4 linked regions of the Lepisosteus oculatus genome follow. The protein of the gene in region 2 interacts with the protein of the main gene of each other region in a pairwise test. Links are inferred from orthologs where the notes say so. Each region holds a gene or a part of one and is shown on either strand. Other genes may lie near its edges. The genes, in order: stac3, c6h1orf35, srrm4 and thap1.

Region 1 (7,143 bases), on a different chromosome or scaffold from region 2:
AATTGGCTTCTGGGAGTGTTGGCCCTGGTGTGAGCGAGTGTGTGTCTACGTCTGTGTTTGTGTCTACAGTATCTGCCCTGTAATGTACTGGCGTTTCATCCAAGATGTGTCCTGCTTTAGCCCACTGCTTACCAGGACAGGCTCCGGCTCCCCTGTAACCCTGAACTGGAATACGTGGTAAGAAAATGGATGGGTGTACAGTAGATAAGTGTGTGGTTGTGTTCACACAGAGCATGGAAGACTGCGCTTGCTGGCCAAGGCTGCAGGTTCTCAGACATCATACTCGGCTTCAGGAGAACCAGCTTTTTCCAAACTATACTGAGCAGAGAAGATCGAAATTGCATTTACTTTTTGTCTGAGAGGGATTCAACTGATTGTAGAGGTCAGGATTATGCAAGCATTCAAAGGTAATATAATAATAAAGGGTATAATTATATATTACTATGTAAGGGCCACTTTTGACCTTGGTTTTACTCTATTGGGTCAGAATGTCACCCGGGTTCCTTGCAGCCAGCACCTGCACAGATCTGTGCTGAAATACCTGCCTGGCATTCTACAGCTGTGCAAAACTGCACAGAGCTGTGCAGGAATGCAGGGACCTGCATGAGGAAAAATGCAGCCTGTAATTCCAGTGACGATCTGGTGTAAGAGATAATAGTATTCACCGCAAATCGACGAGACAGCAGGGAAACTGCTGTTCCTAAAGAAGACCGTGGTGACAGCATGGGCTTCCAAGGCCTTTTTCAAGGATAACAGAACTGTCTCAGTTCACATCCTTCACGGAGCTTCTTCCTGCATTCAGATTCTCAAGGGCTGTACAATTCTAGTCCAGGATTGCACTGTAGGTTTTCATTCCTAACTACCTAGTTAATCTAATGGGCGGAGCTGTGGCGCTGTGGCTAAGGATCTGCGCCTGTGGCTGGAAGGTTGCCGGTTCAAATCCCACAGCCAGCAGAGGAATCCTACTCCTCTGAGCAAGGCCCTTCACCCCAACTGCTCCAGGGGCGCTGTACACTGGCTGACCCTGCGCTCTGACCCCCAGCTTCTCTCTCCCTGTCTGTGTCTCATGGAGAGCAAGCTGGGGTCTGCGAAAAGATTAATTCCTAATGCAAGAAATTGTAGAGGGCTAATAAAGTGATGTTATGTTAATGATTGGCTGAATTGGACCATCTTCTCCCAGTTTTCACGTGTCCTTGCAATGTTGCTAAACCTCAGGCAGGGTGGGGTTTTGACAGTGCAGCAAGATCACCCTCTGCTAGAGGCTCTAGGCACTGTGCTCATCAGATCAGTCACATTGCCCAACGAGCAAACTGGGCGGGAAGACGGAGGAATCGGGACTCACTGGTCGTACTGCGCCATCACTGCTGGGGGAAGTCTCCCTCGCTCTCAAGCACGGGGCCACTCCTGAGGTAGCAGGACACCCTGCCAGGAGAGGGGAGAGACACACAGAAACGCTCTATATTACACCATTGCACTGCCATTAGCACTGATGCAGGTAATACGTTGACCACTAGTATAATTTGAACACTTGTTACAGGTGCTTTTGCATCTTTTAGCATAACATGAGGAACAAATCCATTACAGACAGCGAGAGTAGTAGCCGCGGCAGTAGAAGCAGAGATGGCGGCAGTCACGACAGCAGTGCAGGGACCAGTAGATCACTAGCTGTAGGTGAAGGTGTGGCAGGAGAAACAGCAGCTGCAGAAGGGTAACTACCCGCTGTGGCAGCTGCAATATCAAGTACATAGCTTCAGTAGTGGTGTTGGCACTAGTAGCAGAAGTGCAGGTGTCCTGGTCCTGATCCTGGGAACCCAAACATCTGCTGGGTTATATTCCACCTGAGCGCTCAGTTAAGTAATTGAACCCTTAACACACCTGATGATAACAGGTGTGGTCTGAACTCGTCGTTTGCAGTTCCTAAACATGGAGGAGGTTGTCTGTTAGCCATTGCATTTAAGTAACACGAGGACTCCAGCCTTTCAGCAGACAAGCATAGCTTGGCGGGGTCCTGGCCCAGCGACTTGTTGGTTCAGTTAAGGGCTCATTTGAGTAAAGAGCTCAGCTGCAACAAACGCCAGCAGATCCCCAGGGTCAGGATTGGGAAGCCCTGTCATGGAATAAAGATAGCCCCGATAGTAGCACACGGTGAAACTGGGAACTGGGATAACGAAGCCTTGGGCAAGCTGAAAACAATTCCTCATGCGGAGCGCTCCTCCTGTGTTACTGGCCGCCGGCGCGAAGGGAAGGCGGGTGTCGTTCAGGTCGACCAGTCCGAGGACTGACCAGCACTCCTCCAGGTCGGCCCAGCCTTGCCAGCCCAAGGAGAACAACGGGAATAAACAGTTTCCAAACACTTCTTTCTCCCGATTGTACACCAATGAGCTCTGCCCCGCTCTCTCTCTCTGTGTGTGACTCGCGCTCAGACTGCTCTGCTCTATTCCTGGTTAGGGGGTAACCTGATCTCCACATGACTAAAACCGGAGCATCGTGGGCCCAGGAGCCCAGATTGAATTACAACAGTAACGCTCTAGAACACTCACTGGGGTGTCCGACTGGAGCTTAATCTCAGAGCATTAAAGATTGGACCAGAGCTACACACGGAGCATTTTAATCAAGCACCTCTCCTAACCCCAGTCAGCATTTCTGTTTCGCCTGTGCAATCGGAGAGACTCAACAGGAACGATTCCTACAAGAAGAGGAGCCGTAGGGGGTGTCCAGCTCTGAAGCCAAAGCAAAATACACGAGCCCCACCCGGGGGAAAAAAACACAATCCTCTCACCTCCTTGGGATTTCTCTTCCCCTCTGTGGCTCTAGTCTCTTCAGAAAGGAATCGCCAATTGGAAATTCCTGCGCGGTTTCCAAAGGGGCTCGAACTTGCCAGTGATATTAACACCAGCAGCGCAGTCCGGCACAATTTTGTCCCTGGGTTTTGCTGTGGTTGACTCTCCAAATGGCCCTTCCAACAGGAGGGGTGTTTTTGAAGCCAGAGGACCAGAGTGTTGTGGAGAGGGGGGTGCGCGCGTGTGCAGAGGAGTCAGGAACAGCTGACACGGATTGAGCAACGAGGAGCTGACACCAGGAAATCAGACACCTCTGATGGGACAGGCTAGGGGTCTGTCAGAGGGAGACAATCCCCACCTTTATCATGTCGTTACTGTGAAAGAACTAACAATTTGCCAACAGGTTGTCAAGGATTATTTCAGACTCTCTAGACAGACCACATTTACTGTATTCATTGCTTATTAACCATGAAACAAAGAAACACCGACAGGGAGACCAATGCAAGAACAAACACAACGTGTTCTAAAAAGCGTACTTAGCACAGGTTAAGTCAAGCCTCCTAACCAAAATCTTGATCACTGATGGCCAGGTTCAGGTTTCTATGGAATCAACACTTTTACCTCCTACTCTAAATTTCAATCAAGTTGGGTCAAAGCTACTTTATTAATCTGGTCCAAAACCACCAATCTTTCAGCAATAAAGGAAATGTACAGCCGATCAGCCACCTGACCTAAAACACTCCAGTGTGTGATGGGACAGATGAATACAGACGACATCTCATTATAATACATTTATCTAACCTTTTCTGGACACTCCACTCAAAGCGCTTTACAGGTAATGTGCAGCCCCCCCGGGTGATGAGACAGCAGCCATAGTGCGCCAGTACTCTCAACACACATCAGCTATCAGTGGGGAGGAGAACAGAGTAATGAAGCCAATTCATAGATGGGGATTATTAGGAGGTCACAATTGGCGAAAGCCGGGGAAAATCTGGCCAGGACAACACCCCTACTCTTTTTGAGAAATGCCCTGTGATTTTTAATAACCACAGAGTCAGGATCTCGGTTTTACATCTTATCCAATGGATGGTGCCTTTTTTACAATATAGTGTCCCCATCACTAGACTGGGACATTAAGACCCACACAGTCTGCAGGATGAGCGTTCCCTACTGGCCCCACTAACACCTCTTCCAGCAGCAACCTTTTAGCTTTCCCAGGAGGTCTCCCCTCCAGGTACAGGCCAGGCTCACACCTGCTGAGCTTCAGTGGGTTGGATGTCTGTCAAACCCGCAGAAAAACGGGGCCCAAACCAAGTTCCAGATCTAACCAAAGCTATAGAATTCAAAAACACACATGCCCTCCAATTACACTTACCTCAGCAGGACAATGTCTTATTGATGTTGCTAAAGCATGGCACCTTGATTGAGGTTTCTCACCTGCGCACCTGATCACTTGTGCAGGATGGCTGCTGGAGGGAGTGCACTTCAGTGTCTGGAAGTAGGTGCCTTCCCGCATATTAAAGGCTTCGAAGGCATTTGGGGAGGAAAGTGCTATACAAATTCAACGAATCATGGTCATACTAATCTTTGAGAGACAGGTGTGACTGGCACCCCTGGACAATGGCTTCCCCAGTCCGTTCCAGTGTCTTTACCACAGGATATCAATCTCAGGGCTGGTCTGACCTGTCAATACAATGTCTACTAGTTTCCACTCCCCATTACCGCCTGTTAACAGCGTAAGGCTCCACTTCCCAGGAGCTTTCAGGTCTTTGTTAGACCCCAGGCAGTGATCATGCAACCAAACTGATTATCCTTTGACCTGAACTATTTAAATACTTCTCTACAGATCTTTATAAACATACATATTAACATTCCCTACAAAGCATAAGTTTCTAAATCAGAGACTGGTCAATAACTGGATCAGTATGAATTGAAGGGGAGGGTGTGGGAGGAGCAGACGAGGTCTATAGCCTTTCTAAAGGAGCCGTTGCAGACAAACTGGCTGGGACCACACTGAAAGCATTTCCCCGATTCTGGCAGACTTGGTTTTTGCTTCTTCTTGGAAGAACTCTACGACACTACGGATTGCTATGGCTTCAGTCCAGATCAGCTCCTCTTGGGAACCCTCTTTCCCACTTGCCTGCTCCTTAAATGTTTGCTCATGTTGCAAAACCTACCCACTTAAATCCCCCTGCCCATCTCATAATTCAGTCTGGGGGGGAATTTCTCACTCGCGCTGGTGCAGGGCGGCCAGGTGGGTGCAGCACTGCAGAGGGAGATGATGTGGCTCCCCCCTGTGTGTGAAGCACACAGGACCATTTGTGGGGGGGGGGCAGAGATAAATGCAAGCAAGTATAAGCAATGTGGAAACTATTTGAAAAAAAAAAACATCATTCTATTCTTGCTTACTCACGTTTAGGGGTTGTGGTCATCAGTTTCTACAAGTGTGTCTTTTTTAGGAATATGAGCTTGAAAAACAAACCGAGTGAGTTTTAGGTTGCGAACACTAAACAATACAGTTCAAGCACTGGGCAGTAACTGATCCATTACAATAAAAAGATCATTTTAAATGGAAACTTTGGGAGAAACTGGCACTTCTGCAAGTCTGCCTTTAACAAATGCTCTTCTGGATGTAGGCTTCCACTGAATTCCTCCAGAGCACTGTTCGAAAGAGAAACAGGAGGAGTGGGGAAAAAAGAGAGACCAAACAGGCAGGCAGGGTTTTTTTTTCACTTTTATATTTTTAAAAACAAAAATAACAGATTAAATAAAATTTACAGTAGACATATGCAATCAATTGTGCACTTTTTAAATACTTCTTCTGATACGTTCTGCACAGCTGTCAACGAAAAACGCAAACACAAGAAAGAGAAAAGATCAAGGAGGAGGAGCAGGAAGATGGAGGAAGAAGAGGCAAGGCAGGGGAAGGGGAAAGCGAGGGGCTGAGAATGAGCAGGGCGAGAGTGTGTGGTGAGGACGGGAGGGATAAACTCTTCCACTGAAATCACTGAATATATATATTTTTAAATCCTTAAATCACTTATATAAATATATTCAACCAAAAAAAAACAGAAAACAAAAAAACGAAAACGAACGAAGAAACAGAATAAAGAAAAGATCAACAGCGCAGCACATGAAGCCACAGCAGTAGTAAGGCAAACAGAAGCCAACGGAGGCAGCCAAGAGAGAACGAGAGAGAGAGAGAGGTGTGCGCTACAGTGAGAGAGAGCGAGAGTGCGCCAGGAGAGGGAAGAAGTCGTGAGTATGAGTGAGAAGGGAAGGTGAGGGTGCAAGAGACCGGGAGTTTGAGTAGAGAAAACAGGACAAGGGGGAGGTAGCAGAGGAGCAGAAAATAAAAGATGGAGGACAAGTTTGGGGGGTGGGGTGGGGGATTGTGGGTAAAGTGAGGTCGACTGTCCAGTGTGTCCTCGTGTGCGCCGCGCGTCGGGTCATCGTACGTGCGTGTGGGTGGGTGGGCACGCGCACACGGTCAGTAAATGCTCCACACACATACGCGCATCAAACCGCACGCATGCTCGCGTGTCTTGTGTGCTCTTCTGACAAAAAAAAAGACCCAAAAAACAAAGGTAAATAAAAAAAAATAGAAAGTTGGAGTACGCCAATCTGGAACTTCTCCTCCCTTTTGTCGAGACGATTCGTTTTCCCCGCCGCGACCCTGCCCCGCTGCCCTACTGCGAGCTGGCCCGCTCCAGAATCCGCAGGTCATAGTTCTTTTTGGTGGCGCGCAGCTTGAAGCGGCTGGTGGAGTTATTGAGTTTGAAGGAAGCGCTCTGGGCGGCCATGGTGCTGGGGAACACGGCCACCACGGTGTAGAGGTGCGCCGGGTCGTTGTCGCCCTTGCCGCCCCCGCCGTCGCCCCGGCCCTGCGTGTCCTTCAGCCACTGGATCTTGGCGCCCGACATGGCCAGCTGGTTGAAGAGCTTCTCGGCCTCCGTGCGCGTGATGCCCTCGGGGAGGTCCGTCACCTCCAGCACGCGGCTGACCACTGCAGGGGGTGGCACAGAACACAGGCAGGCTGAAACCTCACCTCTCTGCCACCGCGGCCCACTAATCCTTCAGCCGCACGCGGCAAACAGCCCATTCGGACTGGACGGGGGAGCCTGCAGAAAGCCTCCTGTTGACATGCCCGTGATCCTAACCTTCTCCCCCAGGAAAAACTTTGCCCTCCTCCTCCCTCAGTCATACAAGCATGAAGGCGGCATTTTTTATTTTTTTACTGCCAATTCCCATAATTCCAGATGAGAAATTTGTTGTGATGTCCTTATTGAATCATGTCAAGCATTCCTGGATTCCTGGAAAGGCCAGAAACATTTCCATGATGCATGGGTGTCACTGACCAATC
Region 2 (7,113 bases):
TTGAGAATTAACCGGAGGATCAAAAAGGAATTGCATTTAAAACAGACAATATCAGGTGCCTCTTTACACATAGTGTTGTAGGAGTCTGGAACAAGATTCCCGGCCATGCTTTCAAAGCTGATGCCCTGGCTCCTTTCAAAAAATGATTGGATAGGATCATTGGATAACTTAGCTACTAGCTACCAGCACCCACTCAAGCTAGGTGGGCTAAATGATCTTTTTGTAAGCAGTGTATACCAGGTTTCAAAGGTAGCCTTCAAACCATTAATTTTTTTTAAAGTTCTGAAACAATTTATCTACAGTATAATCAATTAAACAGGTGTTGTGTTTATTTATGTAATTTACTGAGCACTTGTAACAAAGATCAGAACATCCTTAAGCCCTCAAGGACCAGAGTTTCCTTAACTGAAACATTCATCCATCCATTTTCTGGGAGGGAGGGAACCGGAAACTCACACGAACACAAAGTTTCCTCTCACACACTCCACACAGACAGCACCCCAGGTCTGGAACTGAACCCAGGGACCCAGTGCTGCGAGGCAGCAGTGCTAATCACTGTACCGCTGTGCTGCCCTGCATTGAATCATCATTTGCTTATTTGATTAAATGACCCTAATTTCTAAATAACTGGGGATTTCGGGCTGACCTACAAAATAACTGGACTTCTGGACTCTCTCGGAATCCCGTCGTGTGTTCTTAAAATAGCCGATGTAGTGGGACATTCTATTCATTAAATGCTACTGGACACAGTTAACATAAGTTAACAGAACAACTGAAGTGTACTTTGCAAATGATTGAGATGAGACACACTTAGCAAAATGCAGGATGTACCTAATATAGTAAAGACAATGAAACATGTTGTGAATTCAGAGGTAGCCCATCAGACGTGGCTCATTTAAAATTTTTAGAAGCCCAAACTATAGCAGAGTTTAAAAGGGAATATAAAGATAAGGTAAGCTAAATTTATAGGCTTAAATTACAATTTTAGCTAGACATTTGCTGTACTGGTACAAAGGTAAAAATGTAATATCATGGCAATATTATGGTAAGTTACATATGTTCCACAATGTCATACATTAGTAAAAGATCTAATTAGATTAGGGTCTAAAATGATGTACTGCAGACACTAATGCAGGGCTGGAATCAAAGAAAAGAACAAGACTCATGTAGAAGGAACAGTAAATTTACAGCATATTGCCATGTTGTTTTTCACACTAAATGAAACCAAATCAGAAACAGATCCAGTTCAGTTCAATTACTATGGTAAGCCCTCTCACAAAAGCACGAAAAACCAACCTGGGAGTGCAATTTTATTTTTCATCTTTGTAACAATTTCTGTATCATGATTTTTATACAGTATGTGAACAGGAATCTGAACTCTGCCTAGCAGCAGTTCATCTGGACACAAGGTCAGGATTTTTTCCTGTCATGAGTTTTTATACTCAATGAATTAAAAAAAGCTATTTCACAATTAGGTCAAACACCACGGGAAACAATTTAAATCATGACTTTACTATTAAATGCATGTGATCAATATTTCCCACTGACGGAGTTCATCATGTGTGATTCATTAAGAGCCACATGCTGTCTGCTGCTGAATAAATGATTTATATGTAAATGTTTTAAACAAAAAGGCTAAATGAATGACTGGACAAAATCATGGCAAAAACTGAAGTTTAAATATTGAGCAGTTTAAGTATATTAAGCTCTAAATGTACTGATCAGACCTCAAAGATAGTATAGCCTTAGAAAGAGTTCAAAGAGCAATAGAAAAATGACTGGTTTTAAGAGACAGTCAAAAGTAGACAGGATGAAGGAGCAAAATCTATTTAGTCTTTTGTTGAGAGATGATGAGAGGCGATTTGATCCTAGAATACAAAACCCTGTATAGATAGGTTCAACCTAGGGGACCATTTCACACAGAATAGTCTCCTCTCATGCATATGTTCTAAACAAAATTTACTACATGGGTGGCGAACAATGTTAGACTCGTATGTTCTTTGCATTGCACGCATTTTAAAAGTCAATCATGTGAAAAATAGTCCTGTTTAGACCTAAATTACTTATGATCATCTGGACCTGTAGATACTGTAGACGTCTGATAATAGTTCAATACATTGGACTTCCACCAATCACAGTAAGAGGTTCAGAACATAAAATTCAGACAATCCCGGACTACATAAAGTCTTCTGTGTAGCTTTAGGATCTTAATAATAATAATAATAATAATTGCTTACACTTATATAGTGCCTCTCTGGACACTCCACTCAAAGCGCTTTACGGGTAATGGGGCTCCCCTCCACCACCACCAATGTGCAGCCCCACCTGGATCTTGGTTACTATTTCTTAATTTTTTTCCACAAGGATTTCTTCTTGGGGCTCAAAGAATGATCACGCGGAGATCATAAGCATTAAAATGGCATTCACCGTTTCCTCCACTCTTGTTTTTTGTTTGACTAATTCACGCCTAGGTGTGGCGCTGACTAGGTACATTATCCTTATCAGGAAGCTGTGGGAAAGCTCAAATCCTGTATCAGTCACAGCTGATATAAAGGAAGAAAAGTAAACTTTGCGTTATCTTGCCTTAGTTGTGATCCTGCAAAGCACAGAATTCATGAAATCTCAAGAGAAAGTCAAACAACCAGCTGGACGTACAAACCTGTAACAAAAAGGCCATTTATTACAGTTAACCCTATAAGTAACAAAACACTTACATGCGACCATCAATGAAACTGTAGTCAATACGGGGGGAGAGATAATAGGAAACGGGAACAACAGAGTAAGAGAAACTTCACCGGGCGCAACGTGCCTTTTGAATAACATCCCATTTAGTACACTTACACATACACAACTCTAGTTTAATTAACTCTCAGCAAACCGAAAACAAAAACTAACTATAGCGTTTTACGCTAGGGTATACACTACCTTGTTAATCTCAAAATATTGAAAACGAAGAGCTCTAAAAGACAACGCAAAAGCCTTTTGCATCCTCAAATGCAGCGTGGTACTGTACGACATTGAATAATGAAAGGCAAGTCTTCTTTCATAAACGTTTCGAGCCTACCTGAAAGAAGTCTGGAGAAAATCTTCTGATACATGTGAGATAGATGTAACACAAGAGCTCAAGACTATTTTCCCCACCTCTCCTTCCCCTTTCCGCAATTGTAGTATTCTCGCATGAGCTCCATTAAATTACGATGCTGTACTTCGACGTCATCACAGTGAGACAAAGACAGTGTGTTGCTGTGGTTACTCGTCGCGTCTACGCGTCTTAAAGTTATAAATCCTACTGTAGCACTTGAATATCAAACTATTTCGTAAGCCTAGAAAAGAAACACCGTTAAAATAAATATAATAGAAATTAAGACGTGTCTGTAATGTATGCGTTACAACAACCATATAATATATAAATCGATTTGCCATGTGTCACCATATCGGTTAGTTAAATTTAATTGTATATGACAGTGTTAACTATTAAAGTTCCCGATGCCATTAGCCACCTCTGAATCATTCTAGTTTAATTCGTTTACGAATATGCTCCCTCTATCGGGAAAACACATAGCGTTTCTTCAGATAACTAGGGATTATTTTTATCCAGTAAAGCAGACCGCTTATTATAGCCACATAACGACTTCATACTTTCCAGATTGGCACTGACTGCAAGAGCAGAACAAAACAAATACACGTCAGCTGTCAGTGACTGCTGCAGGGAAATACACCACTGCGCAAAAAGGCGGCTGAAAATGAAAATGAGAGGCTTAAGAAAGAACAGTTCAAACTAAAAAATACCTTAGTAAAAGTTATTTTAAACAATAATATTGTAATGAATAATTAACAGCAAAGCAGACGAATACAACACGGTTACTGATTAGAACAGTTGTGTAAAATGGTTTGCTTTAAAACATAAACTGGATGAATTTAAAATCATATAAAATGAAGCTCATTTAAAATAGATAACGAATAAGCAATTTACATTTAGCGTCATTGATGTCAATACTTAATCTACTGCATACCATTTATTACCCAATTCAGAACCTATGTATTGTGTACGTACTAAATGCAGCACCTATGTATTATGTGCGTACTTAAATATTGTAACCTCTCAGTTACGATGAACAACATTAGTTGCCATACATTCAGCCAAACCCTAGCTTAGTTGAAATGGGAGTCAGAACTGCAGTGACTGCAGGCGGAGGGAAGAATTAGCGCCTAGTGGTGGCGAAGAGTAGACCGCGGATAACCAGTGCTGAATTAGTAACAGTCTAGCACGCTGCAGTCAAGAAATCGCGTGGACACATAATTTACACCGTATATGTGTACATTATTTTATGTTAAAAATCAGAATCCTGACTTTCGGTTTCTCCTCTACCCATAACAGCAGCCTGGCTCAAAGCCACTTAAACCTGAAGGAACCCGGAGTATTTTTACAGGAAACTCCCCGGATTGAACAGGCCGCACAATAGAGAAATGCGCATGTAGCCAAATAGTATTGTTATTAAGGCTTTCCGAAATTTGTTATTTTACTTATACAAAAAAGATGTTTGGTTCTTCGAGATCCGGTGGCGTGAGAGGTGGCCAAGACCAATTCAACTGGGATGATGTGAAGAGCGACAAACACAGAGAAAACTATCTTGGTAAGTCATGCACATACAAAGCAAACTTCGCAAGATGTACTTCCTCTTTTTGAATAAAACATCAATGCATGTTTTTTTTACATTTTTTTACTCGGAGATTAGAATAAACATAACAGAAATTATATTTTTAATAAAACCTGCAACGTGGTCCGAATTAATTACAACCTCGTGACTGTTGTAAAGCCGGAATTCTCCGAGAGTAAGAAGGAACAGGAGCATTATTAAAGGATAGGGTGATCACATTGACAGTTGCGATTCTTACCTTTTTCTTTTCGATATTCCTTCATCTCATAATCTTTGTGCTTTCTCTTAAAAATATAGTTCGCCCACACAGCTCGATTGACTAGGTCACGTTCACGGCTCGTCTATCGCCCTCTCTGAGCTGATGGGATGCCGATCCTCTCTGTCAGATACCCAAGTTACACGTTTCCTAAGGGCATTGGGTTGTCCATCGGTAGAGTGAGTTCTTTGTAATGCTGAGCAAGAGTATTGACCATTTTGCATTTAAGCATATTTTCAATTTCTCTTCAGTCGGTACTTTGTTGAACCATAGAGAAATCCGTTGAAGAACAGGGCTCTTGAAAAACCATTTGTCCCGCACCACTTCGATTACATTATACTATAGTAACGTTCCTTGTTGCTGCGAGTCTGTTATTACAAATACGTCTAATGTAACGCAGCCAGAAAAAAAGTCTAAATACAAAATCTAAAACGCTTTGAGTTAGATGAGGGTACTTGAGATACTTAAGTGTTTATGTTGACACATCATTAACATTTTATCAATATTGACTCACATCAATATTGACATGCAATTTAAACTATAAACGAAATGTTAGGATATATAGTTAAAAGTAGATTTTAAATAAAGGGATACTGGGTTAAAACTGTATTGTGTTTTTTGGTCACCAAGTTAAAGAAAGGGTATTGCTGCTTTGGAATACATCCAGAGGCGAGCAACTAGATAGGTTTCGGGCTTCCAAGGCTTCAGGGAATGTCCTGCACTGACAGGCTGACTGAACCGAGTCTCTTTAGTCTTGGAAAGAGATGGTTACGAGGAGACCAGATTCAGAATACTCAAATGCATTAACCAAGTCAACTCAGAAGATTTCTTCAGAATAAACGGTGAAACACAAATCTGAGAACAGAACTAGAAACTATGTGGAGGTGTATTTAAAACTGAGTATAGGAGGCACATCTTTACCACAAGGGTTGTGGGAGTATGGAACAAGCATATGGTTAAAGACTAACCCTGGCTTCGTTCATGAAATGGTTGGATAAGATCCTTAGATTAATTAGCTACCAACTTCTAAATAACATGGGGTCCACTCATTTGTAACCTTATGCTTTTTATGACTACAGTACCCGAAGTCAAATTCCACTTATAACTATTTCATTAAAGTTATTAGGGGAATAGGTTGCCCAAATGTATCTGCCTGTTTCATAAAACATTTCCCCTCACATCCAGGGAGAAACAGTGAAAATCTGCTGAAAGTGAAAGTCTGCTGAAGAAAAGTGTTTTTTTTTTTCCTCTGTGCAAGGGTCAGTTGTTCACCTTCAGGGCAAATGAGCTTTGAAATGTAACAGTTCCAATGTTCAACATCATTATACAAAGCCTACAGCAATATTTCTTTTTCCCAAATGTCCAAAATTATGTATTGTATTAATTTAGTTATATCATGTTTTTTATCAAAGAAAAGAAGGTCTCAAGTTCTAGTAGAGAAGAACCAACTTGTGTTACACTAACCACTTAATACAGTAATAGTAATGCGGTATCTGCTGCAGCTCAGAAGAGAGTGAGGTCCAGCCCATATATTCCTTTTCCCCCAAAAGACACTTGATGTAACTCCTAGTCAGGTCTGTCATGCTTGTCAAAGGCCTGAATGGTGTCCTCTCTGCTGTGCCCTTACAGGGAACTCTCTGATGGCACCAGTGGGCCGCTGGCAGAAGGGCCGGGATCTGACGTGGTACGCCAAGGATAAGAAGGGCCAGGCAGTGCTGTCGAGGGAGGAGGAGCTGGCGGCAGTGAGGCAGGCGGAGCAGGAGGCTCTGATGGCAGCTCTGTGAGTCACGCCCTGTCAGAACAGGGCAGGTGCATCTCTCCATGCATGCAGGGGCAGATGCTCACCGCTGTTAGTCCCACCTCTGTCATTTCAGTTGAAGCACATTTTGTCAGTTTTGGTGGTGTACCTCTCCCTGACGAGATCCTGACTGATCCAGGTATCACTAACTACTGACAGCACTATGTTACAAAACCCAATTCATTTTAAGTAAAGCATTAAATAGTTTACACGGCAATCAGCAGTAATGTCTTTCTATTGAGCTAGAGAATGAGTTAATTTGGTCTACAGACCCAGGTCCAAATTCCAAACTGTTTGTCCATTTTGCTGAGACTGCTCCTGTAATAATGCCAACAGATTAAATAAAGTTAAGCAACCGTCATTACAGCTGTTTTCTGGCCAAGTCTCAAGGTGCCATGACA
Region 3 (6,838 bases), on a different chromosome or scaffold from region 2:
AAAACTGGTTGCATTTTTAATGAGCCTCACCCTGGTACAAAACAGCTTGCAGGATATAATGACCCAGAGAGAAACCCTCCAGCTGGAGTGTTCGTGAACACATCACCCTTTTTTCCCCCAGAGTTGAAAGAGGGTGGGGGGAGGGGTACCTCTCTAATTACCCAACGGCAGTCAGCAGGGGAGGCTATAGTCAGCTCCAGTGACGTTTGAAGAAAAGGACAATACATAGAAAATGAAAGGGCAATAATTACACATCCCCATTCTGTAGTTTCCTTTTTCTCTGCTATCAAGCATTGTCAAATGCCCAGTTCAGTGCTTATGCACTGCAGTATGTTACTTCAGCAAAGTGGAAGATTGAGGCCTGCTTACTCAGTGGGGATGAATGCTTTCGATCTGCTATTACAGTACCCACAAATTCTGTTGAAAGAGATATTTCCCTTTAAACAATGAATGGCTTTGGATCTTTCCCAGCATAAGTTCCTCAGGGTCTTCTCTGTGTTCTAGTGTGTATTTAAGAATGGATACAATAAAGAGAAAGAAAACCCTTCCAAAGCTTAACGGTGGCTTAGTTACATGTGATTTTTAAAAAGGATGCTGGGTTTGTAATCTGTGTGCCACACCTGCTAACATCCTCTCAAACACACAAGAGGTGAGTTAGATCGAGCACAACTATCAAACAATGCAAAAGTGACAAGAATGAAGATCATAATTTTACTGGGGTATACTGTATACTGTATGATGTTTTACTATCACACTGAATATATTGGATTCTATAGTATTCAGACAGGATTCATGTTTGAAATTGCTCGGTTACACTTTATGTAGAGAAATTATAGAAACCATATAGCTATAATAAGAAAATAACAGAGGGCAGACTTTATTATTGTTGTGCTTGTTCTGGAAAACCACTCTCACAAGTAATTAAATTTGGATTATACTATGCTATGGAAATGCAGCTGAATATATAATTGAAATACTAGATTAGTTTCAAAGAAAAGCCCTTATTCTGTCAGAAGGGAGTATTTCCCTTATTTCACATTTTCTGTACAAATTGCTTATAATTCATCAGTCAGTTTTGTTAAAATAAGAAGCTTACCTAAAAAAAACAAGTAATCATCTTCACCAAGCAAGTAAGGTATTAGCAAACTGTCATGTCTTGATATTTATTTTTTAGGAAAATATATTGACACATTCAAAGAGTAGCTAACTACATACATATATCAGTTAGGGAATTTTATATCATTAGTACTTTTGTAAACGTTTAGTGTCTCTTATGCCCCCTCTGATTCAAAACATTAAGAAGAAATACAGTATGTTTATTTTACAAGCTAATTCACTTATTTACTCACATAAAAGCCACATTTCTAAAATAATGCAAGTGGTTTGAAAAAAACAACTAAATGTTGCTTGCCTGTCATCATTTTAAAGAGAAACGGGTTTTAACTCTGAATAGTTTGAAAAATAAAAATATCGGAAGACCTGAAAAACATTGTAATGCTCAAATGTATTATATTCTGCAGTGCTCATCTGCTAACTACACAAACTGGCTACAACTTTGTATGGCAAAGAAGGTTTCTGCAGACTTCAGTCAACATTTATGAGCCTCTCATAACGGTCTGCCCTCCCAATGACTGAATTAGGATTGGGTGAGATAAGAGTTGTCAGCGCTGGATCTTTACGGAATGTAAAGACAGCAAAGCTGGGATAAGAGATACTGGCAGAGCACACAGTGGTTTGAAATGAATCACAAATCACTTTTCACTTGCCAATGCTAGCTGCTGATAATCCAACAAGTCACCTTTGTGATACTGGTGAAAAAAAGAATAAATAAGTAGAGCAGCTCATATCTGACAAAGGCAGAAGACAGTTCAGATCTTAAGGCAGAAAACTCATCAATTTTTGTAGGTAAAATGCAGTTTTTACACAGTTTGCCCCTTTTTGGCAGGTCACGCAGACGTTTCCCAAAGATGTGTAATTTATTAACCATTGCCAGTTATGAGGAAAGTTAGGTGTGGAGCCAAAAAGCTTTTAAAGACAGCCTGTTCCTCTGGGCCTTTTTCTATTTTCATATTTTGTTTATAACATGATGCACTCAGCAACTCAGACAGAATCAATTAACTGAAAAAAAGTAGACAAATGTATCCGAAATTAATCAAGGAAACGAATTAATCCGAACCATGTGTCTTAAGTTCGGTTTTAAATTCAACAAATAGCCCTATTCTTCTCATAAGTTAAAGGTATAGTTAAGTGGATCGGTTTGAAATGAAGGCACTTACTTGCTCAAAGTCCTTCTGGCTGTTATACTGGCTACAATGATGCTTTCTGGTCTCGGAGTGGCCACAGCTTTGAAGGTTCCCTTCCAGAACTTTTCAAAGAGCTGCTTCTCTCCTTGCTGCACGCTGGCCATGGCTTGCTGCTCTTCAGACTGGGCTCGTGTGACCGAAGGCTGGAAGTAATGGGGGGAAGTGGCTGACAAGGCTGCTGCTGAAGCTTCAGTCGCCGCCTGCTTGCTGCTGCTTCTCACACACAACACTCCTGAGCAAGGGAGCTGTCCAAATACTGAAGCCCAGAGCTGCCGCAAAAGCCTTTAAGTCTCTTCAAATGCCAAGGAGCAATCAGTTACTGCCGTTTCCTGTCTTTCTGTCCATGTGATAATGCTTGCTCCACTAGAGACAATGTGATGTCACAAAGGCTGCACGACGCACCATTTATTTAAGGGTTATCATTATTTTCACCATCCCTTGCCTTCTGTTCATTTGCCCATGGATTTCTTGCTGTCACCTGCTTTGCCTTGGTTCAGGGGAGGCAAGCCAGTGTCCAGTCCACTCACCATGAGTTCAGTCTGCGGAGGCTCTGTCCGTGCCGCTGGATGTGAGCTTCGAAGAGAAAGCCAGTGCGTAGCCAAGGACAGTGTAGTGTCGTGTGGCTGGGAGAGTGTGCGTGTGTGTGGATGTATGTGCCCAGCTGACGATCTCTTGTTTTGTCTCTTGTAGGCTCTGACGTTGAAGCTGGGGTTGGGTCACCAGAGTAGGATGTCTTTTCTCTCTCTCTCTCTCCTCTCTCTCTCCTCTTACTCTGTCTCTCAGTCTTCAACAAAAAAGCGGAGCCTGCTGGTTCCATCAGCATAACAAAAGGCAGCAGGTTTTGGAGAATAGGCATTACGTGTGCCTGACACAATGCCTCAGGGGGAATTGCCTGAAACTTCCCACAATGCCTGTGTGTCATTTCTCTTTGACCCAGAGGTGCTCAAGGATGGAAGAGAAGCCAGAATAACAGCCTTTTGTCTTATGATAAAGCAAATTCTCAAACCACCTCATATGCTCTATGATATCCTCTGTGATAGATGTAAAAAGTTACGGATTCATTTATCTGTTTTTGCTCAATTCCATGTTAAAAATGAGTATAATGTTCCAATTTAGCTTCATGCTCTTGGCGTTGATTAAAAAAGGTACTGACCAATTGTGTTAAGTGAATGTACATCAGAATTATCTGGAATCTTAAAAAACCAAGGCCGAAGCATTCAGTAAAAGGATTTTAGTCTGAAACTGAAAAAGTAAGCACTACTACTTTTTCTTCTTTACTGAACATAGATGTGTGATGTAAAATGCTACAAGAAAGTGTGGTGGTGAAAGTGTTATAAGTGTTTTTTTTATAAATCAAGACATTTTAAATGTATTCGACATATTTTTAACTTCTAGTTGCTGTCTTGTTGAAAGAACTGTAAATTGGTTTAAATACTTTACAGATGTTATAAATAGGATTTTCTTACAGTATTTTAACACTAAAATATACAGTACACTAAATATATGCAACAGTGAATTTCACGGAGCCTAGTTGCTAGTTGCTGTCTTGTTGAAAGAACTGCAAATTGGTTTAAATACTTTACAGATGTTATAAATAGGATTTTATTTTAGTATTTTAACACTAAAATATACAGTACACTAAATATATGCAACAGTGAATTTCACGGAGCCAGCAATAGCAGATAGGTTTACTACAGCTGAGTGCCCACATTTCTATTACCAACCTGGATACTGGAAGATCTTGTTCAGTGGTCTGCTACACAATTTTGGATTATGATCCCATTTCCAGGGCTCCTAAGGTTCCAAAGAGCACATATCTTGAGCCATGAATATGTTCATATTTTATCTGCTAAAAAAACAAAGATATTGGCAGAGATACATGAAAAGCATCCAGCTCCTAAACCCAAAAGAGACAGAGATAGTCTTCTTATCCAGACTACATATCTCCATGTGTATTGTGTAGCGTGTTGCCTCTAAAAACACAATATATTACAGTAGACTCTACTCAATGTATTTATGTTTTGAATTGATAAACATTTTCAATACAATCTTTGGGTCCTTTTTTCTGATTTACTCAATGCTTAGGTCTGGCACAAAATGGTAATTAGGAAATAAAGAACTAAAGTGTTATTTCAAAATAACTATTTGTGTTTTTTCCAGTATTCTTTAATTGTACCACATTGCTTCCAATGGATCCCTTGAGTTAGTATTTAGGTTTTGCAATTTTAGAAAGTCACTACCAAGTGTAAAATGCAGTATGGATTAATGCGTCAAAGCTACTAACAACAGTGTAATGTGGTTGGCTCCTGGGCGTTTAACTTTGACTGCCTTCATTAAAATGCAAACTGTGATTAGCAGAGCATTCTATGACTCCAGTATGTCCAGTCTGAAATATGATGATAAGGTATTGCATTTACATTTGGTCATGTTTTTTGCAATTGCTTTTTTTGAACCCCTTTTCAATCTACAAACCTCACACACCTGAGCCCAATCAGGTCTGCTCAAGGCAGAAAACCTTCCTGTCAAATCTTTCTTTCAGAGGGAACTAGGTCATAGAATAAAAACTTAATGAGATGGCAAAAAATGGGGAAACTTTACTCTTTTCCTTAGCATAAAATGGTTTCCTAAGCATTTAGGAAACAAGCCTCAATGCATACAGTGTATATATATATATTATTGAAAATAATAATATTCCAAAATGTCACAATCGTGTACTGTGCACCTTCTAAATTTAAACTTAGAAGAAGGACACCTTTTACTGTTGGTGTTTAACCATTTAGGAAAGGATAAAGAACTATTTTTAGTGTCTTATGTGGGTAATGGTTTTAACTTAAGCGACTAAAATTAGTATTTATTTATACAGATTAACTTTTTAGTGGAGTAGTCTGAATGAAGTACTGTACCTAGCTCATGGGTACAACAGGAGGCCCCACCTGGAATCTGAATCCACAAACTAATATTGACTAATATGATTCTGCATAGATCTATAAGTAGCCAACTGTATTGTTCACACTACTACCATATTCACTTCATTGTCAGACATGCTAACGAGTTGTGGCATTTGAAGAAGTGCACACATTGACACTTCAAAGTGAAGGAAGAAAGAATTCCTAAAGCAACAGCCAAGTAGATGAGTATTAAGCACTGGTGCTGACACAAGAACGTAATGCTTTTTCTTTGGATTTGTATGGATGCAGGAATCAAATCCCATTTAAGGTTTGAGATTAGTTTAATTGTAACGGAAATGGCGATTTCCTGAGAACATTGAAGGAGACATATAAGGCGTATTTCCCACAACAGTGTTACAGAGGGTTTTATAGGCTCTGTACGTCCAGCCATGCTGTTGCTATGAATGGGGGTTTAAGAGTGATCATTTCCCTTGTGGTCTAGTGGCTCCTTCTGATTATGTTATCTCACTTTTCAGCTATTTCTGAGATATCATGTACAACAGCAGGTGTCGGTTTAAAATTCACTCAAGCCTGGTCAGGAGTTATGACCCCAGGCCAGAGTCAGATTTCTACAGATTCATATTTTTTTTAGATTAGTTTTGCTTGTGTATGCTTTCTCGGTTTTCGGTCGCACTCCAAAATGAGTCAGTTAAAGTAAAGGAAATCTTTTCAATTACACCTCTTGCTGTTGCAGAGGTATTGAGCAGAGACATGTTGTGCAGTCAATCTCCCTAGGTAATTAAACTGCATACTGTAGCTCTCCACCAGCCCTCCCTCTTTCTGCTTCTTAGCTACAGAGATAGATAAGGTGTAGGGGATTTATATTAACATGTTCTCTACAGTTCTCCAACATTCATGTAGAAACATCAGTAGCTGAGCAATGCCAATCCATGATTTTTTGGTAACAAATAATTAACATTAATTCAATCTGTGAGCTGAATAAAGAAGTAAGAAGCATCTATATTTAATGTCAATAAAGTTTCTTAACAGAAAGAACAGCAAAGGTCCCATTACAGTTCTGTACTTGGTAAATTACTGGCTACAGAATGTTATTATATTTGGAAATTTTGTGGCATTAATAAAACATGACAATTTTCATAGGCACTCACATTTCTCATATTGTTCAATTAGAGGGAGCTCTATAATGATTTCTCAATTCTCCTGCAGTTTTGGGAGCTTCACCAAGTACCATCTGTAATCAGTGCCCTGAATCTCATTTCTGTTAATAAATATTAACACAGATCAAATTAAATAAACAGAAGCCAGAAACTATCAGGTGATGACCATTGACGAGAGTCTATGACCTTCATTAAAAAATATTCGAAAAATTCCACTAAGTGAATTTAGGCTTGTTGGCCGCCCTTGGTAATTGCTGTTTGTGTATTTTTAGAGCAGCAAACTGGTTCTTGTCATAAGTTTTATTAAGGCTCAACAAAGGGGTGAAGGGGAGTATGCATAATTGTCTTTCCAAGTGCTCCTGAACCGTTGAGCTCATATCGCACAATCACTCCCTAAGTTGACACTAACTGGCATCCAATTCTGCAGACTAGGCTTAAAAAGACCCATAGAAAAAGCATGATAATACTT
Region 4 (6,919 bases), on a different chromosome or scaffold from region 2:
CCAGCTGCTGGATCCTCTTCTTCTGCTGCACGGTGTCCTCCACTGTGTAGTTGTGGTCGCAGGATATGGACATGCTGGGAAGCAGGGCTGGGTGCACAACCATCTGCACCACGTTCTGCAGCTGGGGCAGCCCGGGTTCCTGAGCCGGCAGTGGCGAAGGTGGTGGTGGTGACTGTTCAGAGTCAGTGAGGTGCAGCTCAGGGGGAAGAGTCATTTCTGGTGGGGTTTGCTCATCCAAGGCCTCATCCTACAGGATTGCATGGGGAAAAAAAAAAGCGTTCAGTGAGCATGAATGTACAGTACTTCTCTCTCTTTCAGATGGAGTCAAATGTGGGATGATATATCATCCTCCAACGGAGATAGCATCAAACAACGGAGATATTTCCAGGTACTGCTTCTCATGAACATGAGAACACTTCAGTCTTGGAGTTCAAAGCTCTCTTTTTCTTTTCTTGCCATCAGAAAGTTCGATCTATTCCAGCAAAGGCCTGGCTTTTACAAATGGTTGCTTAAAAATGATACCCGACAGATTTTACAGGCTGATGTACACTACAGAGCCTTGCAAAAGAATTCAGACTCTTCCTGTGGTGCCGAGTGTGAAAGCGTACCAGCACTACGCAAGTCGTAAAAATAGATATACACAAGTGAGCACAAACTGATATTGCCTGCCAACAAGGTGCAATACAAAAATACAAAAGGTTACATTTCACAGGTAATTCATTAGTCCAGATATTGTAGTCAGCACGTTAAGGGCCTATAAAGGACCTCAAGGTATTCAGTGTCTGAATACATAACTTTTTCCTTTCATATCAATTACTTCTTTCTTTTTGTTTTTGTTGCTTTGAATGTGTGGAGGCTGTGTACATAAAGATTAATTGCCACTTCAAAGTATCATGACTTGCAAGCTTTATAACAACAATAAGTGAGAACTGTACAAGGGTTTGAATACTTTTGCAAGGCCCTGTACCTCTTCCTGTCACATATGTCACATATATGAATATGAGCATCCTGTGACAATGACTGCACACGGAGGACACCAAATTCCAGAGGATGCTCAAAAATAAAGGTAATTGTTTTCTCCTTAAAAATAGAAAGTCAACGATTTTCTTGAATTCTGAGACATAAGAACTTGAAATAACCTTAACCCAAGAGGTTATTCTCAGTCATGAATTAAATAACACTAGCATTCATTTTCCTAGGATGAGACAAGAGTCTGAACATGCCCCTTGGTTCAATTGGTGGGGTCCAATCTCCATATCCTATATTCTAGTCCTAGCTGAATGTTGATCAGTAATCAGTTACTTAAATGTTGTTTTTTCTTACGATTAAAAAACATAGGCTGGAAATACAGCACTATTTCCAGCCGATATACAACATACGTAAGTCAGGATGTTATGAGTTCTTGGAAAGTTTGTAAAACATTTAGCCTGTGAAGACACTGAACAATTGCAAAGCACGGGAGTTGAACTACTGTACACAAGATGAAAAAACAAACAAACAGCAGAGCATGTCACATGTTTGAATTCTTAAGAAAAAGTGACCTTCTCCGCCTGGCTTTACCTTTTCATCGAGCCTGTTGAAACAGAAGAGCGAGGGCACCGCGTTTTCCTTCAGCACGCGGTTGTTGCACTCGCGTTTGAAGCAGTCCTTGGTGAAATGCTGTGAGCAGATATTGCTGTATTTAGTGGGCTTGAAGTTGTTCCGTCTCATCGCGGCGACCCATTTTCCACACACATCAGGCCGCGCAAGAGGAAACCTGATGAATAAGCAAACACGACTTCAAGAGGCATTGCCTTTCTCTTCATATATTCATATGTTGTTTTGTTTTGTTTGGCGTTTGAGAGAACAACACAAGTCCAGCACTCCAGGATTTATAGTAATACCTCCATATTTTTTACATGGTATACCTTTATTTGACTTCTAAGAGAATTTATAACAATAACGTTTATTGTGTTGTTCAGGGCAATCAATCTAAAATAGTTATGAAAAAATCTTTAGTCTTTAAAATGCAAGCCAACCGAAAACTACGGCACTTACACTCTTCTGGCTAGTTCAGATCATATGTAATTTAACGCAGGGCAATACATTAAATTAAGGTGTAACTTAATCGGACCACATCCAAATCCGTGCAGCACTGCTATATCCCCGACTCTCCTAAACATTCAGCTGTCCTAGAGTTTGTCATATCCACATATCCAGACGTCTCCAGCTCCAGAGAGTGTGGAAACTGACTCGTACCCTAAAATCACACATCAAATAATATTTAATACTTCATATGAAGAACAGGGCTGCAAAAATCGCTACCTCGTCGTCTGTCCCATTTTCAAACATGACAGTCAGAACTGGCATTTACAGATAAAAGCGAGGGTAGCCCTGTGTTACATTTCCATTCTTTTTCATAAACACTGCCTTTTTCCCATTTCGGTATACGTTTAATTTAATGTATCCATCTGAAAGGTGGTAATTACACAAACTGCCCTGTCATGTGCTCCTCGGAGGATAACGCACCACGATGTACGAGTAGCAACCCAGAAATGCACGTCATACCCAAATCATTGATTTCGCTTACATAAAGATCGGCGGACACACGCTTTGTATCTCCGATCAACTGATTTTATATTCATTTGCTGGGCTTCGCGGAGAAATCACGGCACGGTTTGCCCCGTAGCCTACTTGAGATTGTCCCCTCAGTATTGCAAACTGTTTGAAAACAGCTGTACTTGCGCCCTGCGGTGACCGACAGGAGTTAACTTACTTGTGAAAAGAAATGTTCTTGTCCTTGTGATATCGGTTTTTACATCCGTACGCCGAACACGACTGAACCATCGCTGCCTTTGAAAATAAAGCGCAGCGCAGGTGCGACTGCAAATGTTACGAATGCCTTTTTTTTATTACTATTTATTCATTAATTCTCCGCAGAAGAGGTCCCTCTCCAGTTTCCAAGATGGCTGCTACGGCTTCGCTGGCTGTCACATGATGCGCATCCGTGCTTCGGGTTGGTCACTCCCGTGGAAGAGTCTCCTCTCTTTTCGGGTGACGCACCTGCAGTGTACAATCACGTAGACAAGGCAAATCTCAACGTGCCGGGGACGAGACGTGTACATTAAAGCAGCTTTTAGCATCTGGTGGACGTGTGACACATTTAACCTGCATAATTGCCCTGTATCCATTATGTTATCGCGACCTCCCTGAAGAACCACTGCCACACATTAGAATGATAGCAGCCGCTTTTTCCAGCGAGGTGACATAGAGGTATTAATTACAACAGAACATACAGTACATACAGAATTTGAAAAGTATTTCTTTTTTTCGGGGTGTGGGGTATCCTTAAAACTTATCTGTTTCCAAAATTGGAAGTGAAGTGAAGCGTTGAGGTATTAGATCTTGAGGAGAAAATCCAGGACGAATGCGTCTTATTGGTAAACATCTTGAGGTCGTGGTTTACTTGGAAGTGAAAAATAAAACGACGTTCTTTTACGGTTCATTGGTTTTATACGCTCACAACAGCTTCCTTATGAGTATATCGAGGTGGCACTGTAGTTTTAAAGCGTATGTCTTCTAAATAAACTCAGTTTACATCATGAAAGACCTAATACTTGACGATAAATTGATCTACAAACTTGAAACTTGGTGTGGCAGGGGCTGCACGGAGAGGCGATTATTTGACTTAACACCCCAAAGTGCATTTTAAAGGCACTTGTATATAATTTATCATAATTGTAGCTCTGAAATCTGAATTGTTGAAAAAATATTTTCCTTCTGAGTTATTTTAAAATAACATTTGAATTCACACAAATGGCCTACAGCTCAAATTTCTTGACAAATCAATTTCATGTTCTAGACCAGGGATTCACAGTCCTCCTTCTTCGCTTAAATAAGTCCTTAACCTATAGTTGCTTGGTTAGAACATCTGCATGTTTTTCTTTTTTCTTTTGTTCTACTGAAGTCGCTTAAGAAACAAAATACAGTCAAAGGCAACTTCCTACTTTTTTAGGAACTGAAAACAAAGAGTTCAAATTAAACCTATTATTATGTCTATTAAGGGTTAACAATTACTTAATTGAGCACTTAGGTGGAACAAAAACTAGCACATGTGTTGTGGGTCCCTGGGACTAAGATTGGGAACCACTGCTCTAGAAAATCCCTGTCACCCTGCATTGGATAAAGCACTCAGGAAATGGATGGATGTCCTACAAGGTGCAGAGAGAAAGCAAGATGAGGGCAAAGCAGCACCACGGAGCAATCCCAGCAATCTCAGAAAGCAGGGCCCCAGGTAAACCAGGTGACTTAACCCAGAGTAGGCTGTTGTGCAATAGCTCAAGTACAACACTACCCCCCTCCCCCTCCCACCTTAAAATGTAAACTGCTTTGATGCAACTACTTCTTATATATCATAATTTATATATTCAGTATTTTTAAAAATTTTTACTTTATTTTTACTGATTTGGTTTTACTCCAAATGTACTGTAGTGGACTCCAATTAGCAATATTATGACATCTTATTGATGTAAAACATTTGACATGTTAAGCGTGGTGAGGCTGACTACAGGAGGAATATACTTGAGTTATGGGATGATACAAAATACTTATATACAAACAGGCTTTCTTCAGGATATGTGGTCTTTTTAAGATAGAAATGACATTTTTGAATCCAGTGTCAAGGGTCCAGAATCACATTCCAGGCCTAGCTGTAGTTTGTTCATTTACAGAAAGATGTATGGATACATGCTTGATGTCTCCCATCATTTGATTGGATTTTTAAAATTGATTATATATTTAATATGCATATATATATTTATAGCTACCTGAGAACCTGCAAACAATTCACCTTGAACTTGAACTTTATTGCCATACAGTATGTAACCGGTACTGGTACAATGGAATTCTTACTTACAGAAAGTCTCTCGATTGTAAAACAAGTGTAAAAAACAAGACAAAGTGCAAACAGTGCATCAAGACAATGTACAAACAAACAATAGACAATGTGCAAGTAAACATGTAGACAGTTTGAATGTAAACAATACAGATATGTAAACAATGACTGGAGATGTGCAATAGATAAGAAATCATAAAGAGGTAGATGGTGATGGTGATGGTGTAGGTGTGGTCCGAGGGGGATGGCTAAATGTGGTCGCCAGTCTCACTGCTTGTGGATAGAAGCTATTGAAGAATCTGGTGGTAAGTGTCCGTATGCTCTTATATCTCTTGCCTGAGGGCAGTGGGGTGAAGAGCTCATGCCCGGGGTGGTGACTGTCCTCTGTGATGGCCAGAATTCTACCACGGCAGCGGTCCTCATAGAGCTGTTTAATCTCTGTGAGACCGCAGCCGATGATCTTCTGGGCCATATTGACCATTCTCTGCAGTGCGCGAAGAGGTGTTGCCATACCACACGGTGATCCCGTTGGTGAGGACGCTCTCGATGGTGCAGCGGTAGAAGTTCACCAACATATGTATTGGCATCCCCCATCGCTTGAGGCACCTCAAGAAATAAAGGCGCTGCTGAGCCTTCTTCATGATAGAGTCAGTGTTCACAGTCCAGGTTAGATCTTTAGAGATGTGAATTCCCAAAAACCTAAAGCTGAAACTTAAATGTACTGTACAGTATACCTTATATCTCATAGTGGACTAAACTTCCTTTAATGCTTCAGATTCTTTAAATCTATTCTTATGTCTGTGAAAGAGTTGTGTTGTGTAGCAAGGGTCTAGTTCAGTTATGAAAGCAATGAAATGAACCTCGCTGCTTTCCTCCTGAAGAAGCCGATTCTCAGTGTTTACCTCAGTCGCTCTGTTTTGCGGTGTAAACAGGAACCTCAGGGTGTGCTTTGAACAGGAAACAGGGTGAAGAAATGCTGTCGAGAACTCAAGAAGAAATGTGTGTATAAACACCTGGGAGGAACTCAAACCCCCCAGAAGGCACAGGTCGAGCTCCTTTGTAAGATATTTTGAGTGGGAAAATAAAAGTTAATGTTCCACTGTACTCTGGCAGCAATTTGGATTTTGTGTTTCTTGACCAGCAGACCAGCGCTATACCTAAATGACACAGGTAAATGAACTCAATTTAACTTCTGCATACTGTGAGGTCTTGGGTGAACTAGGCATGTGAATAAGGGAAACTCCAATTTTATTTTTACTCATTGTTCTTCCTCTTTTTCTTATTGATCCTTGGCTTGTGAAGGAGCGCTGTTTATCTTTCACTGAACGCTATAGCACCTGCCTGTCGAAGGCAAAATAGTCAACAAAGAAGAAGTGTGTGAGAAAAAGTGTGTGAGAAGAAGTGTGTGAGCATATCTTCAAGACTAAATAAGTAAAACATAAACTTTGTTTTTTTCAGATCTCTTTAGTATGATTGAAATGGTCTAGGTTTGTTGATATCATTCCCCCTTATGTGGGTTATCAGTCATATGGAAAGTATATGTAGCCACAATACCTTTAGCGCCATCACACTACTGTATTGTGGTCATACAGTATATAGCTGTGATTTTCATTGAAATATATAGTAGGCTGTTGTGGTGCCATTTCAGTGCTATAAATTCGAGAGAATGGGGGTTATTTACATTTTGCAATGTGCAAAGTTGATTGGTAGGTTAATGTACCATCATGTATTAACATATATGATATATAATATATTATTAACATAATATATTTAAGACCATATATATATTGTGTAAAAATACTGGTTGTATATTGTTCAGGATGCATAGCTTAACCTAATAGCATCTATTCATATTTAATTATTGAGAACTGGGTGATAGTCTGACTTTGGATTTGTTTGTAATATGATCTGGAGAACTGAAGGCACCAAACACTTGTCCTGTGAGGACATTAGAAAGGTTAGGTGGCCATCTGGCCATTCCAGCCCATTTAGTACTTAATTGAATCCAAAGATCTCTTTCAGACATTTTGTGTTAGAAACCATAGT

Evidence for each region.
Region 1: the proteins of c6h1orf35 (region 2) and stac3 interact in binary tests that used the Homo sapiens proteins (3 or more experiments, as listed by UniProt). The two-hybrid records come from large-scale screens. The link is inferred for Lepisosteus oculatus from reciprocal best matches to the Homo sapiens genes C1orf35 and STAC3.
Region 3: the proteins of c6h1orf35 (region 2) and srrm4 interact in binary tests that used the Homo sapiens proteins (3 or more experiments, as listed by UniProt). The link is inferred for Lepisosteus oculatus from reciprocal best matches to the Homo sapiens genes C1orf35 and SRRM4.
Region 4: the proteins of c6h1orf35 (region 2) and thap1 interact in binary tests that used the Homo sapiens proteins (3 or more experiments, as listed by UniProt). The two-hybrid records come from large-scale screens. The link is inferred for Lepisosteus oculatus from reciprocal best matches to the Homo sapiens genes C1orf35 and THAP1.

The regions. Positions count from the first base shown.
Region 1 is NC_090696.1:18,376,337-18,383,479, reverse strand, and holds the start of stac3 (SH3 and cysteine-rich domain-containing protein 3), read right to left. Parts: upstream 3,002-7,143; 5' UTR 2,780-3,001; intron 2,363-2,779; exon of another isoform or gene 2,284-2,362; intron 1,423-2,283; 5' UTR 1,360-1,422; coding exon 1,343-1,359; intron 1-1,342. Other genes in the region: R3H domain-containing protein 2, read right to left, coding at 6,470-6,786. UniProt on the Homo sapiens protein: Required for normal excitation-contraction coupling in skeletal muscle and for normal muscle contraction in response to membrane depolarization. Required for normal Ca(2+) release from the sarcplasmic reticulum, which ultimately leads to muscle contraction.
Region 2 is NC_090701.1:29,716,002-29,723,114, forward strand, and holds the start of c6h1orf35 (multiple myeloma tumor-associated protein 2), read left to right. Parts: upstream 1-4,096; 5' UTR 4,097-4,537; coding exon 4,538-4,634; intron 4,635-4,896; coding exon of another isoform or gene 4,897-4,921; exon of another isoform or gene 4,922-5,058; intron 5,059-6,543; coding exon 6,544-6,694; intron 6,695-7,113. Other genes in the region: guk1a (guanylate kinase), read right to left, coding at 3,065-3,098.
Region 3 is NC_090717.1:4,265,987-4,272,824, forward strand, and holds the start of srrm4 (serine/arginine repetitive matrix protein 4), read right to left. Parts: upstream 3,001-6,838; 5' UTR 2,408-3,000; coding exon 2,277-2,407; intron 1-2,276. UniProt on the Homo sapiens protein: Splicing factor specifically required for neural cell differentiation.
Region 4 is NC_090698.1:64,312,308-64,319,226, forward strand, and holds the start of thap1 (THAP domain-containing protein 1), read right to left. Parts: upstream 3,011-6,919; 5' UTR 2,827-3,010; coding exon 2,756-2,826; intron 2,722-2,755; exon of another isoform or gene 2,572-2,721; coding exon of another isoform or gene 2,570-2,571; intron 1,757-2,569; coding exon 1,561-1,756; intron 248-1,560; coding exon 1-247. UniProt on the Homo sapiens protein: DNA-binding transcription regulator that regulates endothelial cell proliferation and G1/S cell-cycle progression.